2 linked regions of the Lonchura striata genome follow. The protein of the gene in region 2 interacts with the protein of the main gene of each other region in a biochemical or structural test. Links are inferred from orthologs where the notes say so. Each region holds a gene or a part of one and is shown on either strand. Other genes may lie near its edges. The genes, in order: homeobox protein SIX1 and EYA2.

Region 1 (7,399 bases), on a different chromosome or scaffold from region 2:
AATTCAGTTCCAGATTATTCAGGGGCAGGCTGCCTCGCTCGCTCCCTCTCTCCCCACACCAGCCCAAACATCTTGAAGTAATCAGCAGCTGAGAACGGAGACGTCCCCCTGGCATCTCAGGTTAAAGAAGGAGGTCCAGGAAAATGTGGTAGAGCCATTACAAGAAACCTGAGATGCATTCATCAGAGACTCCAATTGCCATCGCATTAGGATTGATTAGAGACCAGCAGTACCGTAATGACCCGGAAAGCGGGGCATACGGGGATTATTAATATCAGACTTCTCAAAGGAAAAAAGAAAAAAAAAAAAGGAAAAAAAAAAAAAAAGAGGGAGAAAAAAAGAAAGGGAGGAAAAAACGGAGGAAAAGAAGGAAGAAGCAGGAGGGGAAATTTAAAAAACAAAAGCACATCGCAGGGCTGCTGCTTGGAGGCAGACTTACCTGAGAGCAGAGGCACTGGCAAGCCGCACGGACGAGAATTCATTTAACTTCTGGGAAACAAAAGCAAACAAACATGAAAAAAATCGCCTCCGAGTCCCCTGAAATCGCCTGCTCCCATGCACAGAGACTCCCAGCGCTGCGGCCAAGGGCTGGGCGGGCCACGGTTCGGGGGTCCCAACCGGGGACTCCCCCTCCGGGGCCAAAGGACCCCGGTCCCCGGGCTGGCGACAGCAAGGACAAGTTAAAGAGCCACCAAAGAGGAGCAAGGAGACCTCGGTGGCTCGTCTCCTTCTCGGTTCCCTACGCCAAAACAAATCTGCCCCTCCTGGTCTCGGTTTAAATGTAGCTCACTGGATAATTAACTCCATCTTTCCAGCCCTGCTTTAACTGTTTATTTAGTGTCACCCCGTATTACCATCACTAGCACTTTCCTCTGAACGGGAGGAGCTGGAGGGTTTCACCTCCCAAAAGGAAATTCTTCGTAGCTTAAAAGAATCAGCATCCAGGAGGTACATTAGCGAAGAGGGAAGGGGGGGGGGGGGGGGGACGACGGGATCTGGGGGTCCCATGGCAAAAGCAGGAGGAAATAAGGGTGGAGGTGCGGGGACAGGGACAGAAAGACGTATCGGCCCTCGAAGAGAAGAAAACAACGCGTGATCACCTCTAATCCTTTGAAAAATGTCCCGGTAAGTGCGCGAAGAAAGAGCCCTTTGTGCCCTGGGGATCGGCCACATCGGGAAGGCCTTATCCTCATCCTTATCCTGCCCCAGCATCCCGGCCCGGGCCGGCCCTCCTCCGGCAGCCCCGGCCCGGCCTGACCCCGCTGGGTGCGGGGGGACCCCCTGGCCGGGCAGCCCCGGGGCGCGGGGCCCGGGCAGGGACGCGGAGCGGCCCCGCGGACACCGGCTTTGTTTTTACAGGTGTCGGGAGGGTAATTTACTAACAAGTAATTAAAGGTCGCACCGGTTTGCAGGCGAGCCGGGCCAGAGGCTCCTGCAAGAGAAGAGCGGTGCATATGGAGAGGGGTTTGTTCTTCCTCATTAAAAAAATAGAATAATAAAGGAGGGAGGGGAGAGGGGGAGAAAGAAAATACAAATCCTTTATTGTTGGGGAATAAGCCGGGAAGCTGGCTGTCTCCCTGCGCCTCGCATTCGGCGAGGAAGGCGGCGCGGATCCGGTATCACGTTGCAGATCCTCACTCGAGATAACGAAATGCGATCTATTTTTCAGAACAGCAAGTGGATGGGAAAGGAGCCTCTACAACACAAACCTCATTGACTTAATGGGTCGGTTTTGGATTTCGCCTTCGAAATGTTCGGCGAGTGGCGGCGTTGTGTTTCTGCCCCGCCGGTTCCCAGCCTGCAGCCCGGTTCTCATCCCGACGAGAAGCGGCTCCCAAAAACCCGCTGCTGATTTTATTTTGTTGCGCTATTTGTTCCCTCTAGATTCTCGTACTTCTAGAGAAAAAAAATTAAATTTTACTTTTGACTGGGGAAGAGCTTTATTTCTAAGCTTGGAAGGAAATGGGGGATGTATTCGGTTTAGGTTTTTTCTGCTTTGTTTTGATTTTTCTGGCGAAATCGAGAAAAAGCCCGCAGCGTGTTGCGTGGGCTCCATCTTCATCCCCGCTTTGCTTTGTATAAATACATCGAATAAATAAGGGAATAAATGAATTTCCTGCACAAACAGAGCCGATGGGTGCCCGGGCAATGGGGGTGAGCAGCGGAGGCCCCCTCGTTCGGCCGCACCTCTCCGCGGGCGCGGAGAGCCAGGCCCCAGCGGCGGGGACAGCCCGGGCAGCTCCGGCCGGGCGGGGAGCGGGGGATGCTGCCGGGTGATGCTGCCGGGCTGCTCCTGCTCCGCCGGCAAAGGAAGCACCGAGAGGGACCGGCGGCAGCAGCTCTGTGCCGTCGTCTTGTTCGGTGGCGTTTTGCTTATTTGCATCTTCCTTGTTTATGTTTTTATTTTTTGAGCGGCTCGAAACTCTCTTTTGTGTTGTTGCTTTTGTGATTTTTCAAGGGTTAAATGGGATGGGGTGTTCTGGAAGTACATTTGCCTCTTTCCGTGGTTCAAAATGAAAGGTTCCTAATTTTTAGGAAAACCAACCCCGAATCCTTAACGAACATTGATGCTCAGTGGTCCTTGCCTACAGCAACTCTCAGGTAGACCCTGGCGGGTCTGTCCCCTCCTCATGTGAATTTTGATGAGAGGGAAGAATAAAGTTCCGCTCAAGAATCGCGAGAAAGGCTCCGCTCAGCCCTCGCCCGTGTCTGTCATCTCTTCTGCCGGCCACATCGGGATAATTTGCTTATTCCCAGCAAGAACAGTGTTTGTTTTGGGCGGCCTTTTACAGGAGGGAAAAAAAGAAAAAGAGAACAACTAAAAAAAGGAGAACTGTGAGGGCAAGAGAAGCCCGCTCTCGTTACAATGCCCAGGGGTTTCCCCAGTCCCGCGTTGCGTTTCTCTCCTCCTCATCCAGAAGTCACAAACCCTCAGGTCCGTGCTTTTCCCGAGCTGAGCCCCTCATTAGAAAGAAGAAAATAAAATTTAAAATTAATAACAATAGAAATAAGGGATGGGGGAACCGACCCCCAGGCTGGGCAAGGCGCTGCTCCTCCAGGACGTGGCCGCGGGCGAGCCGATGCCTCATAATTCTGCGCACTTGCTCCAGACTTTAGGGTATTAGTTGATTTTAGAGCCGGGTTTAAGGCTCCGTTCCGGTCCCCACACAGCTGCCTTGTCAATAAGGATCTGTTCCAAGTAGACATTCCTTCTGGGAGGACATTGCAGCTCTTTAAGACTTCATCTGCAACATCATAAGTACTAAAATAAAATGGCAAGGGAAAATTACCAGACACATGGTCATGGGATATGGAAGCGCCCTGACTCCAGCGGACATAGTACAGTCGCTGTACAGACAGGGTGGCAGGGGCTTAATTTAAACAGCACCGAGACGCGAAGTACGTGGGAAAAACAACAATCCGGATTTAGGAAAATATCGGCCTTTCCCACGTCGTGGCGCGGGCAGAGGCTGCGGGCAGGGAGCGCCGCCGGCTCCGCGCCCCGCGGCCGGGAGCGGCTCCTCTTCACTTGGAGCAGTGAACTCAAATAAATCCGACTTGGTAGGTCAAATAAATCCGACTGTCTTAGTGAGGACAAACAGGTTTTAAAGAGCCCCGCGATGGTTCTTAGCACCCGCGGAACGAACTCATTCCTGAATCCAAAGCGTTCTGGAGTGTGCTTAAAATATGGGCTTCGACTTATCTAATCAAAGATAAATACAGCCATAAAGACACTCCCAGCCCCCCGCGCCCTGCCCTTATCTCACCGCATTGTCCTCACCTCCCTGCTGACAATAGATTATCTTTGCTTAGGGAGCCTAATTGTTTTCTAATTTTTTAAATAATTGCTTTTGAGCGGGGGTGTGCAAATGAGGATTAGGCTAATTTAAAGCGCCGCCGGTGGGTGCAGCGCCGCTGCCCGCGATCCACACGGAGCTGCCCCGACCCGCCGGGCTCCCCCCGCGGCGAACGGGGCAGAGCGAGGGGCAGGAAGGGGCGCACGGGCCCCGCGCGTTATTCAGCGCTTCACCAAAGCATTATTTATTCATCCCCAGCTCGGAGGTAATTAAATACGGGCTGCCTAGGCAGGGGACGGCGAGCGGGCGGGCGGGGGGCAGGAGTTTTGGGGTGGAAAAAAAAAAGATGGAAGAAAGAAAGACAAGAGCCCGCCGGCAGCGGCTTCCCCGGAGATGCGCCCGGGGGCGCGGGCGGCGGGGCTCCCCCCGCGGCCGCCGGGGCCGCACCCGCGCAGAGGCGGCGGCGGGACGCGCAGCCGCGGCCGGGGCCGTGTCCGGGGCCGTGTCCCCGCCGCCAGGCCCCGCCCGCCCGTGCCGAGGCTCTGCCCGCCGGGCCGGGCTGGGCTGGGCTGGGCTGTCCGGGCTGGGCCGGGCCGGGCCGGGGGTGCCCAATCAGCGCGGCGCGGGGGCTCGGGCGCTTTAAGCGCGGCGGCGGCGGAGCGGGGACAAAGTCCCCCCGGCGCCGCGACGAGCATCCCCGCTCGCCCGGCACACCGCCCTCGCCTGCCGCAGCGCCTCCCCGCTCTGGGGCCGGCACCGGCACCGGGATCGGGATCAGCACCGGGCCCGGGCCCGGCGGGCGCCTACCCCCCGCCCCTCCGCCGCCGCGCTCCCGCGGGGTGCCCGTCGCCTCCTCCTCGTCCTCCTCCTCCTTCTCCTCGTCCTCCTGCGGCCGCCGCCGCGCTCGGCCATGTCGATGCTGCCGTCGTTTGGCTTCACGCAGGAGCAGGTCGCCTGCGTCTGCGAGGTGCTGCAGCAAGGGGGGAACCTGGAGAGGCTGGGCCGGTTCCTCTGGTCGCTGCCGGCCTGCGACCACCTGCACAAGAACGAGAGTGTCCTCAAGGCCAAGGCGGTGGTGGCCTTCCACCGCGGCAACTTCCGCGAGCTCTACAAGATCCTGGAGAGCCACCAGTTCTCCCCCCACAACCACCCCAAGCTGCAGCAGCTCTGGCTCAAGGCGCACTACGTGGAAGCCGAGAAGCTGCGGGGCAGACCCTTGGGCGCCGTCGGCAAATACCGCGTCCGCCGAAAATTCCCTTTGCCCCGCACCATCTGGGACGGCGAGGAAACCAGCTACTGCTTCAAGGAGAAATCCCGGGGCGTGCTGCGGGAATGGTACGCCCACAACCCCTACCCGTCCCCCCGGGAGAAGCGGGAGTTGGCGGAAGCCACCGGTCTCACCACCACCCAGGTCAGCAACTGGTTCAAGAACAGAAGGCAACGGGACCGAGCGGCGGAGGCGAAGGAAAGGTACGTGCCACCCTCCGTTCTCCGCTTTTCTCCCTGCTCCACCGTGCTGGGGGCGTTTGGGAACCCGGGAGCTACTCCGGGAACGCGGCGAGTACCCGGAGCCGGATGGGATAGGAGCGACGAAAACACACGGTTCCCTTCAAATCCACCCCCCTCCCTTTTTATTTTTTTTTTCCTTTTTTTTTTTTTTTTTTTTTTTTTTTTTTTTTTTTTTTTTTTTTTTTTTTCCCTCCTAAACCGCGTTGCGGTTCCCCCTTCCGTGGAAACCCAAATGGGTTTTTCACTCGACCTCACCTGCCCTGGGGGAGCAACGAGCTTCCACCGTCCTCTTCCAGGCCGCTCCGCCGCCTTTGTTTGCTGCCTGCCTCCTCGAGTAAACCGGGAGCGATGCGGACCCGGAGGCTCCGGGAAGCGGTCGGGATGCCGGGTCGCGTGTGGCCGCGGGTCGGGCAGGATAGCTCCGGAGCTCGGAGGAGAGAGATGCAGCTCCGGGATGGCGAGGTGGGGGGAAGCAGAGGGAGATCGGGATGAGGACGCGCCGGCCGGGCCGAGCCGCCGCCCCGTACCGAGGCCACCCCGGCAGGCGACGCGGTGGCCTCGGTGCGAGGCGGCCGCTCGGCCCGGCGAGGCAGAGAGCCACGGAGGGCATCTCCTTCAGCTGCCTCCCCACCGAGCCGCCTGGAGAAAACCCCGCACCCAGCTCGTCCGCGGGCCGTACTTTCATTTTTAATTAAAAAGAAAGGAAGACGGCCCCTCAAAAAAAAAAAAATCCCTTCCTCCAGTTTTCCCTCCTCACCTAAATTACCGGGCTGTTCAGTGTATTTATTTGTAGGAGGGATAAAAGGAATAGGGACGATCCGTTATGAATTTTTTTAGGATTATTTTTCTCCCCTTGAGAAGCATCTGCTCCCACGCTGGAACTAAAGGCGAAGGATTTACGGTGGGCATTAGCACAATGCCCATCCCCGCCGCCTCGTGCCCGCCCTAACATCCCCGTGGTGGGATTATATATACATTTTTTTTTTTTTGCCTTTCCCAGAGAGAACACGGAAAACAACAACGCGGCCACCAACAAACCGAACCAACTCTCGCCTCTGGATGGAAGCAAACCCCTCATGTCCAGCTCCGAGGAAGAGTTTTCTCCTCCCCAAAGCCCGGATCAGAACTCGGTCCTGCTCTTGCAGGGGAACCTCAGCCACGCCAGGAGCTCCGGCTATTCCCTGAGCGGCTTAGCCGCATCCCAGACCCCGCACAGCCTCCAAGGCCACCAGCTCCAGGACTCGCTGCTGGGACCCCTCACGTCCAGCCTGGTGGATCTGGGATCCTAAAGGCCCTCGGCGGGCCGCCGGAGGATCGGGAGAGGAGGAGGTTCTGCTCGGGGACAGAGGCTCTGGGTTGTACATAGAGGACAGCACCCGGTTTTACAGGTCACCCGCTGATTGTTAACGGGACTCTCGTCTCTTTTCACACAACCCCACATCGGCTCTTGCTCCAGTTCCCCCTCAGCGTCTCCCACTATCACCACGATTTTTTAATTATTTTTTTTTCCACGTAGCCAAACACAGAGAGCGGCAATAACCCTCATCAGCCCTTCGAGTTCAAACGAGTTGGTCCCAACGGGAATTAAACAAAAAAAAAAAAAAAAAGTAAAAGAAAATGTAAAAGGGGAAAAAAAAAAAAAAAAAGAAAATGAAACCCCAACCCCTGCTGGATCCGATTCCATTCAAACAAATCCCAGCGCCGTGGGCGCGGTGGGGCAGGGTCGGCCGGCACATCCCTGCTGCTGCCTGGCCCGGTCCCCGAGGATCTGGGAAAGGGACAGAGAGAGAGAATCACTGTACTGAGCCCTGTGGCAGAGTGGGAGGAGGGAGGGGAAGTTACGTTTACATTTTTCATACTTAGCCTTACCAAAAAGATTTCGATGTAGTTTAAACTTAAAAAAAAAAAAAAAAAAAAAAAGAAAAAAAAAGAGTGGGAAAAAAATATATCAAAAGCTGCAGTATTAGAGTTTTACCAAGTGCCTGTGTCTGACCGCGGCCGTGCGAGGCAGATACTGAGTGGGCTCCCGTGGACCCGCGTCCCCCACTTTTCTCGTCTTTGGTGGTGAAATGCATCGATGTGGCTAAAAATTA
Region 2 (7,814 bases):
TATCCTCACCTGATTAAAACAAGGTGTTTGTTAAACATCATTACTTGAGTTAAGATCTGCAAATAAAGATGAAGTATTGTTTTAAGAATTTGACTGCCATGAAACAATTGTTTTCTGATGGGATCTCTTAATGAACAGTCCCAACCAGGATTTTCAGCAGAAAAGGAAGGGAAAGAGATTTGACAAGTTCTCCCTATTCATATCAAAGCGAGCAAAATGCCAAGAGGTTTGAGTACTTACATTTTTTTTAACAGACATATACTAAAAAAACCAAACTTGTATTTTTTTACTAAATTAAGCCACCAAAAAAGGAGGAAGTATTTAAGCCTGCACAACTTTACTTTAGTATATACCATTGTTTATAATTCTGAATATATGTTTTGTTTCTATTTTTCTGTCCTGTTCAATACAATGTGAAATTTAATGAAAATAACATGATTGTTTATCCAGGAAACTCCTCCATGCACTAATCAAATATACATTCTTACTGCTGTGAAAAATACACAGGTACAATGAAACTATACACTGAGAACGGCAGTACGAGATTTCTTTCCCTACATGGTCTACCAAATGACCCCTCCACTTACAGGACATATTTAAAATCTTCATATTAAAACTGAAGCGTTCTATGGCTTATGAAAAGGATTTGACTTTGTAACTTCATTTAACAGTTTGTCCCAAATAAAAGTTACCCCAGCCAGGCAAAGTTAACTCAAAAATATTTTCTTAGCATTCTAAGAACTTCTGCTAGTTTTCACAGATTTATTAAAGCATTTTTCACTGCATAAGTAATCTTAACAATCATTTCCACAGATTAGGTCTAACAACCTGTGAATTTATTGCAGAAGGAATTTACTGCGAGGAATAATTAGTCTTTAGCGCTGTTCATGCTTGTTCTCCGGCTGAAGACACCTTAAGACCATCTGGTTACTGCAAAATTTGGCACAGGAGGAACAAATCTTACCAAAGAGAATTATAGCTGATTTCAGAATAGCTGTTGTACTACTACACATCATAAATAACAGTTGGGAAGACAGCAGAAAATTAGTAACGTCTTTAATTGTTTTCTTTGTCAGCAGTGTGTACACATACATACTGACACACAAACACAGCCACGCAGAATCCAGCCCGATGCCTCGCAGGCTTGAAGTTAAACATGCGACTAATATTTGCAGGATTAATTGCTAAATTATTAAATTTTCAGGGGAAAAAAAGAGAAAAGCATATTAACCAGCTATGCATAGCAACACAGCAACACATGAGACTCTTTAAGGGATATTCTGAGATCGAGTTCCTTGTGTGAATACCTGAGTTTAATTCCTTTTTATAATTCAAGGCATATCCGCACACACCGAGGAGTTGAATATGAGGCTTATTGTTGGAGGGGGAGTTATCAACAACATTTTTATTTCTCCCTAATGAAGCTTTTCTAATGGAACCTAAGGCTGCCAATGTTGTGAGGTATTTGAAACAGGAACCCGTTTCAGAAATTTCAACCAAATAATGGTGATAAGATTAGCGAGTCATGGGAATCGAGTCTCCACGTACTATTTTAAAAGAAAATGAGCTGAGGGGAGTGGGCTAAGCAAAGTAAAGCAAAACAAATTGATGAGTGTAAAACCAAAAGCATACACAACTTGTTATTTAGCCAAATGTTTTGACCTGTTGGTGGGTGAGTAGAAGAGGCAAAAGAGTTACGTGGACAATTTGACTCTGTAACTACACAATTCAATTTTACACCATACATTTAGATTTTATTTTTTTTTTTAATTAAGGGTTTTAAGTTAGAACAATTAAGTCAAGTTATCAGCTGCTCTACCAATCAAGTGAATTTTCACAACATGCTTAAAAAGTTTCTGGAATGTCTCCAAAGCTGTAAGTACTCCTTATTTTCAAGGCATTTGTACTGCAAGTCTTTCCTACTTGCTTGTGTTACATCTGATGCCTTCAAACCAATGCTTTCAAAGCAGAAATAAAAATTCAGTTTTATTAAGGAATGGAAACAATTTCCACACATTAAAAAAAAAAAAAAAAAAAAAAAAAAAGATGAGAAAGAATTTATCCTGTCTGAAGCAACAAGTAACAAAACAATGCAATGCTCAATGTATGAAACTATCTAAGCAGCATTAGTTTAGACACAGAATTACTAGTTTAAATGTGTGCCATGTTTTGTGGACCAGATTGTCCTAATACACACAGACGTGGACTAGCATGAAGAAATTTAGACATGCTTTCTCAATAAACTGGGGGAGAAGAAAGAGGGGGACCCTTCCACGGATGGCATTGCAGAGAGCAGAAGTTCTCAGTAAATTAATAAAGTCCACAAGAGAGACTAAACAATAAACCATTTCTGCCACCGCTTTTAACGGCGCTCAGGGATGCGTGTATTTGATATTGCGCTGAACAAAATTTCTGTTAGTATTTGATATAGACCAATAAACTGTTTATTGGTTCACTACATGCGTTTTAGCAATCACAACTTTATACAAAAGAATACATCATTATTTGAAATGTCTGAACAACAGTAGCTGTATACCATGAATAATTTCCTTCAGAGGCCGTTCACTGGGCTCAAGCACAATTTAACACTCAGAAAAGTTTACTTGAACTGCATAAATCACATACAAGTTTTCCTCAAGGAAGCAGCCGCGGGAAAGCGCAGTGGCGCATTTTATTTAAACGCACTCTTCAGCGATTAAAATCATTAATAAGCGGGGCTCGCTGGACGGTAAAACCGAACCGCGCGCTGCGCAGCAATTAACTCCCTGCGCTAATTCTGGGTCGCGGCTCCGCACGCAGGACCCGCCGCTGCCGCGGAGCCGCTCCGCGCCCGCGCTCCGCCGGAGCCGCCCCGCCGGGCTCCGGGGCTCCGCGCTCCCCGCCCCGCGCCCGCGGAGCCCCGCCGGGCACCCGCCCCCGCGGGCGCGCAGCACCCCTCCCCACTCACCGGCGGTGCAGCGCGGAGCCGCGGCGCTGCGGAGTGTGCGCGCCCGCCGCCGGCGCAGTGAGCATGTGCGAGGCGGGCGCGCATGCCCGCGGAAGGGAGCGGAGCGGAGCGGGGCGGCGGCTCCGCGCCCCGCGCTGCGCCCCGGGCGCGCCCACCGCCCCCTCCCCGCCGCGCCTCCCGCCGGAGCCGCCCGCGGGCTGCGCGGGGCGCGGAGCGCAGCGCCGCGGCCGCTCCGCCGCACCGCGCGGGGGGTTTGCCCTCGGCTCCGTGCCCCGCTGCCCGCCCGGCACGCCCGGCACACCCGGCCCTCCGCCCCCCGCGGCAGCCCGACCCCGGCGCCGCCGGCCCCTCGCAGCGCCGCGGGGCTGCCCCCGTGCCGCCGCCGTCGGGGCGCACCTACCGCACGCCTGGGGCCGCGGCGCGTCCCGGCGCCCGCAGCGCCGCGCTGCCCGCGGTGCCGGGCGGAGGAGGAGCCTCCCGCGGCTCCCGGGGCCGCCCGGCAGCCCCCGCTACTGTCACGGAACTGCCCGAGCCTCCCGGGGCCGCCCGGCAGCCCCCGCTACTGTCACGGAGCTGCCCGCGGCTCCCGGGGCCGCCCGGCAGCCCCCGCTACTGTCACGGAGCTGCCCGAGCCTCCCGCGCTCCCGGGGCCGCCCGGCAGCCCCCGCTACTGTCACGGAGGTACCCGCGCCGCGGGCAGCGCGGAGCCGCTGCTCCCGGGCGCGGGCCGGGCAGCGCTCGTACCGGCGGCAGGTACGCGCCGGCCGCGCTTGCTCCCGCCCGTGGCTATGGTTTGATGTTGGTGCTATCAGCCTCCATCGAGCTGCTGAATTTCTTTCTTTTTGAAAAAAATTCTTTCCGTAGCGCTTGGACGCTTGAATACCATGCGAATACCACCTTGTCTGTAGCCTCTGTTTCCATGAAAACAGTCGCTTTCACTACAGTCCTTGTGTTAAGGGTTTCTAGTGACAATTTTTAAATATCAGTTTAAAAGGAATGGCTTTTGTTGACGTCTATTTTGTCTTAACACGCACAGCCCCACAGAGCCATGGGTCCTGCAGGCACAGCATCACTCACACACGGCGCCTTCTGCACTCAGAGAGCATCACACGGCTCCTGGCTCCCCAGAGGGCGAAAACCTGCCCATAGTTCCCATCACCTCCAACAACACAGAATGGATTTGTGGCCGTACAGAGGTGCTGTCCCATCTCTCATATCAGCATAAAAACAGAGGCAGTCTGGCAAGTGCCCCTTGTGCTCCTGCCTGATGTGCTGGATGCCTCAATCAGGCACCTCATCTGCTTCTTTGCACATCCAAGAGAGCGGCAGGAGGCACCTTCAGATGGTTTATGCTGGGAAGATGGAGCTGGGACATTCCACTGCGTGCCCCTTCCCTGAATCCCCCTTGTGCTGTAACCCCACAAACAGCTTCCCCTTGCTCCTACTGGCCTCATCCCTGCTCTGGTACCAGACAGTTTCCCCCGTCCGCCGGCATACCTGCTCGCTGGGGATGCAGCCTGACCACAGCAGCATTGCAGTGTTTCATTTCCACACCCTGCTCTTCCTCCTTATTTCACCTCCTCACCAGTCTGGGACAGACTGCAGTCCTCCAGTTCTGTCTCTCCAGTACTGCAGAGGCATCGGGGGAGACCTGCAATTCCTTGTCCTGACGGCTTTTATTACACCTAGCCCTTTCCTCAGGAAGGAGATACCCCGTGAACCGCAGTGGAAAAGCCAAAGGAGCACAAAGGGTGTTGAGTTCAGGGTTTGAACAAGCTGCAGCCCACTCATGGATTTAACTCAAAATTTTGACAATGGAACAAAAACATCATTGCAACGAGACAGCTGTTTTTACTATCAAAATCTCTCAGATCAATTTGACTGCAAAGTGTGTTCCTACAATCCAAAGGAGACAAAGCTCCTAGCATCAGTTTGGAGCTGGCAGGCTTCCTAGCATGAGCTACCTCCCGCCAGCCTAGAAAAACCAAAGCTCTTTCAGTTGTTATTCTCCATCAGTTCTCAGCACTAACCCCCTGATTTCCCCATGGATTATCTGCAGTTCTGAGTTTACACTGCTCTCACATTAAACTCTGAGCAATCACTGGCTGGGGGGGTTTCCTTGCTGCCTTTCTCACCTGTAATTGTGGTTCTGGTGACAATTCTCTGAAGTACAAGAAAGTCCTTGGATCCATCTTGAAAATAAAACCTTTCCTTCCTCAACCTGCCGTGCCCAAAAGCCTGATTGCCACATTAGCTCCTTTTGAAGCTGGTTTTAACAAGTAAATTCATATCTAAAAATGCTTTGTTTGCAAAATTCTCCCAACCCCTGATTTCACAACATATTTGAATATATGCTTAGTTTTATGCATGTGAATAGGCTTACAACGATCAATACAATTATTTACCTAAGTGCTTAAAGTCAGGCAGGTATTTAAGAATTAGTATTGTTTGTGGTAATGCCACGGCAAGCCAGGCAGGGACCAGGACCTCATTGTTTGTTCAGCAACCTGCACACAAAAAGACACTCCTTGTCCCTTTCAGTATAAATAATTTCTGTAAGTTGTGAGTAACTTGTGAATCAGTGCCAGAAACACCTTTCTTGAGCTAGTGAGTAAACATTATTTGTCTACACTAATATCCTTCTTATTTACCAAAAACATTGTATGCAATATTTAGAAAAGTAATAAAGGCACAGTGGGAAAAGGGTGAGCAAAGAGGAAGATAAAGGATATTTTTTCATTTAGGTTTTTAAGTATTTTCATCATTGTTGTTAGTATCCAGGAAAATACCTATAGATGTTGAAAGCCATTTAGAAAGGCAAGGGAATAATATGGCTTCTACCCCATCAGTGGGACTGTGGGTTGGTGTGCATGGGTCAGACAGGCTGCCAGGTGAGAGACAAGTCCTTTTAGTTGGCTTGATAAAAGCTTCTATTTTGTCAAGCTGGGCCATCATCAGCCATACAATGCCTAGGATTTCTCAGACCAGTAGAACTTTTTTTATCAAAAAACAAGGCAGGTTTAGGAGGTGGTTTGCTTGACTTGTTACTCTCTGCTCGTTGCCACGTATCTTGAAGGCTAAATGGAAACGGTGCAGAAAGCTCCACACAGTCACCAAATGGAAATGCTCCGAATCACTGGGCTGGGTGCCAGTGTCCTGCACAGATTTGAGAGATAATGGTCCTCCTTTGGCACCTGGGCAGGCAGACATCCCTGTCCTGAGGGAGCATGGGAAGCTGTCTTCTGCCAGACCCTGCCATAGGGTGGGAGCACCTCAGCCTCTCTGAGGAGAAGGTGAAGAGCTAGATCCCAAATTTTAGTTACTATGGAAATACATTTCCCTTGAGGAAATACTACCAGTTTCTGCTGTTGACCTCATTGTCAAAATGAAGAGAAATACATGAGTACAAACAACTGTTTCTGTTTTTAAAAACAAGCAATTAGCCAGCATTGAACTTCATCACCTTCCTTCACAATTAAGATGTAATGTCACCCTGTGTCACAAACCAAGGTGAGAAATCCTCAAAAAGAATGCAGAGGATTTATTGGGGTACTGAATATGGTTAACCCAGAGGATAGAAACACCCTGAGTCAGAAATCGCTTTACAAAGTGTAAGAATTTTAAAATAATGCATTTTGGACTCTTCCTAATTGTTCTCTTGTCCTTGAGTTCATGTTTTCAATTTCTGTTTGCAACCACAATGCTGAGTAACTTAGTTGTCTTCTAAAATTAAAACTGAGAATCTCACATTTGCATGTTTTCACATGATGCCAGAACACAGGCTTTGTGGGGAAAAAAACAAAAACAAACCCCAAACACCCCAACCCTCACATTTTAGAAGACTTTCAACAAAATTGCGAAAGTTGGCAACCATATTTCCTAACACAATATTTTGTGGATTCCAGTGAAATTTCATTCTCAAGGCTAATGGTTGCTTTCTCTCTGGTAAATGTCCTGAATTGCTGCTGCTGTTATTGTTAGAACATTGTTAATTTATGCAGTAATTTAAAAACAGAGGAGAGGTACTCTGTCCTCAAGTAATTACAGAATAAAGAACATAATCTAGAGACTATTTTAAATTTCTTTGCTGTACAGATAAACAGAATTATGTAAAAATGACCTATTTCACATATTAGTGCTCAGGCCTGCAAGACACCAAGGGTCTGATTCTGGAAATACTTTAAATATATTTAATTTAAATGCCACCAGACTGCTCCCAGTGCAATAAAGCATTTCATATGGGACTGTGCCATCCAAGGGGGCAGTGCTGTACTTGGTTGCATTTTTGGTGCCAAAAGGCTCTGCTCTTTGTAGGATGGATTCTTCTGTGGGCAACAAGAGCTGTGTCAGGATCTGAGTGCTAACATCTCACATTCAGAACCAGAGCCATCAATGCTGAGATTATTCTTCTTATTTCTAAGAACTTGCTTGCAAATTCTCAGGCCACAGCATTTAACAAATTTCTCTCAGTCTTTGGTATTGATGATAAGCCAATATGTGTTGTTTAGCCTGTTTCATCAACATTCAGAACATTTGTAACTGATAAACAAAGTGCATGTTAGCTATTAAAGCTCAAAATTAGGCAGGCAGTAAAAAGTAATCTGAGAGCAGGACTGTAGCTACTGATACTATTGAAGCTGGTCTTAAAACATATGGTTGCTAATCATTGACACAATGCACAAAAATAAAACCCTGCAACTGAGGAGTGCCTGATCTATTCACCACTAAATGATCAAATATGCCTGTTTGTTTTTTAGTTTCATGTCCCCTTCCTCTTTCTGGTTTTCTAAAGTAGAAGCTTGCTATTTAATATTAGCTGAAGATTTGGCCCTTTGTACTGGCTGCAGACGGGCTTCATTAATCAATT

Evidence for each region.
Region 1: the proteins of EYA2 (region 2) and homeobox protein SIX1 form a complex in vitro, tested with the Homo sapiens proteins (2 studies listed by IntAct, with this or other methods). The link is inferred for Lonchura striata from reciprocal best matches to the Homo sapiens genes EYA2 and SIX1.

The regions. Positions count from the first base shown.
Region 1 is NC_134608.1:5,722,374-5,729,772, reverse strand, and holds homeobox protein SIX1, read left to right. Parts: upstream 1-4,559; 5' UTR 4,560-4,707; coding exon 4,708-5,267; intron 5,268-6,306; coding exon 6,307-6,595; 3' UTR 6,596-6,885; downstream 6,886-7,399. UniProt on the Homo sapiens protein: Transcription factor that is involved in the regulation of cell proliferation, apoptosis and embryonic development. Plays an important role in the development of several organs, including kidney, muscle and inner ear.
Region 2 is NC_134619.1:8,725,408-8,733,221, forward strand, and holds the start of EYA2 (protein phosphatase EYA2), read right to left. Parts: upstream 3,030-7,814; 5' UTR 3,013-3,029; coding exon 2,948-3,012; intron 1-2,947. UniProt on the Homo sapiens protein: Functions both as protein phosphatase and as transcriptional coactivator for SIX1, and probably also for SIX2, SIX4 and SIX5.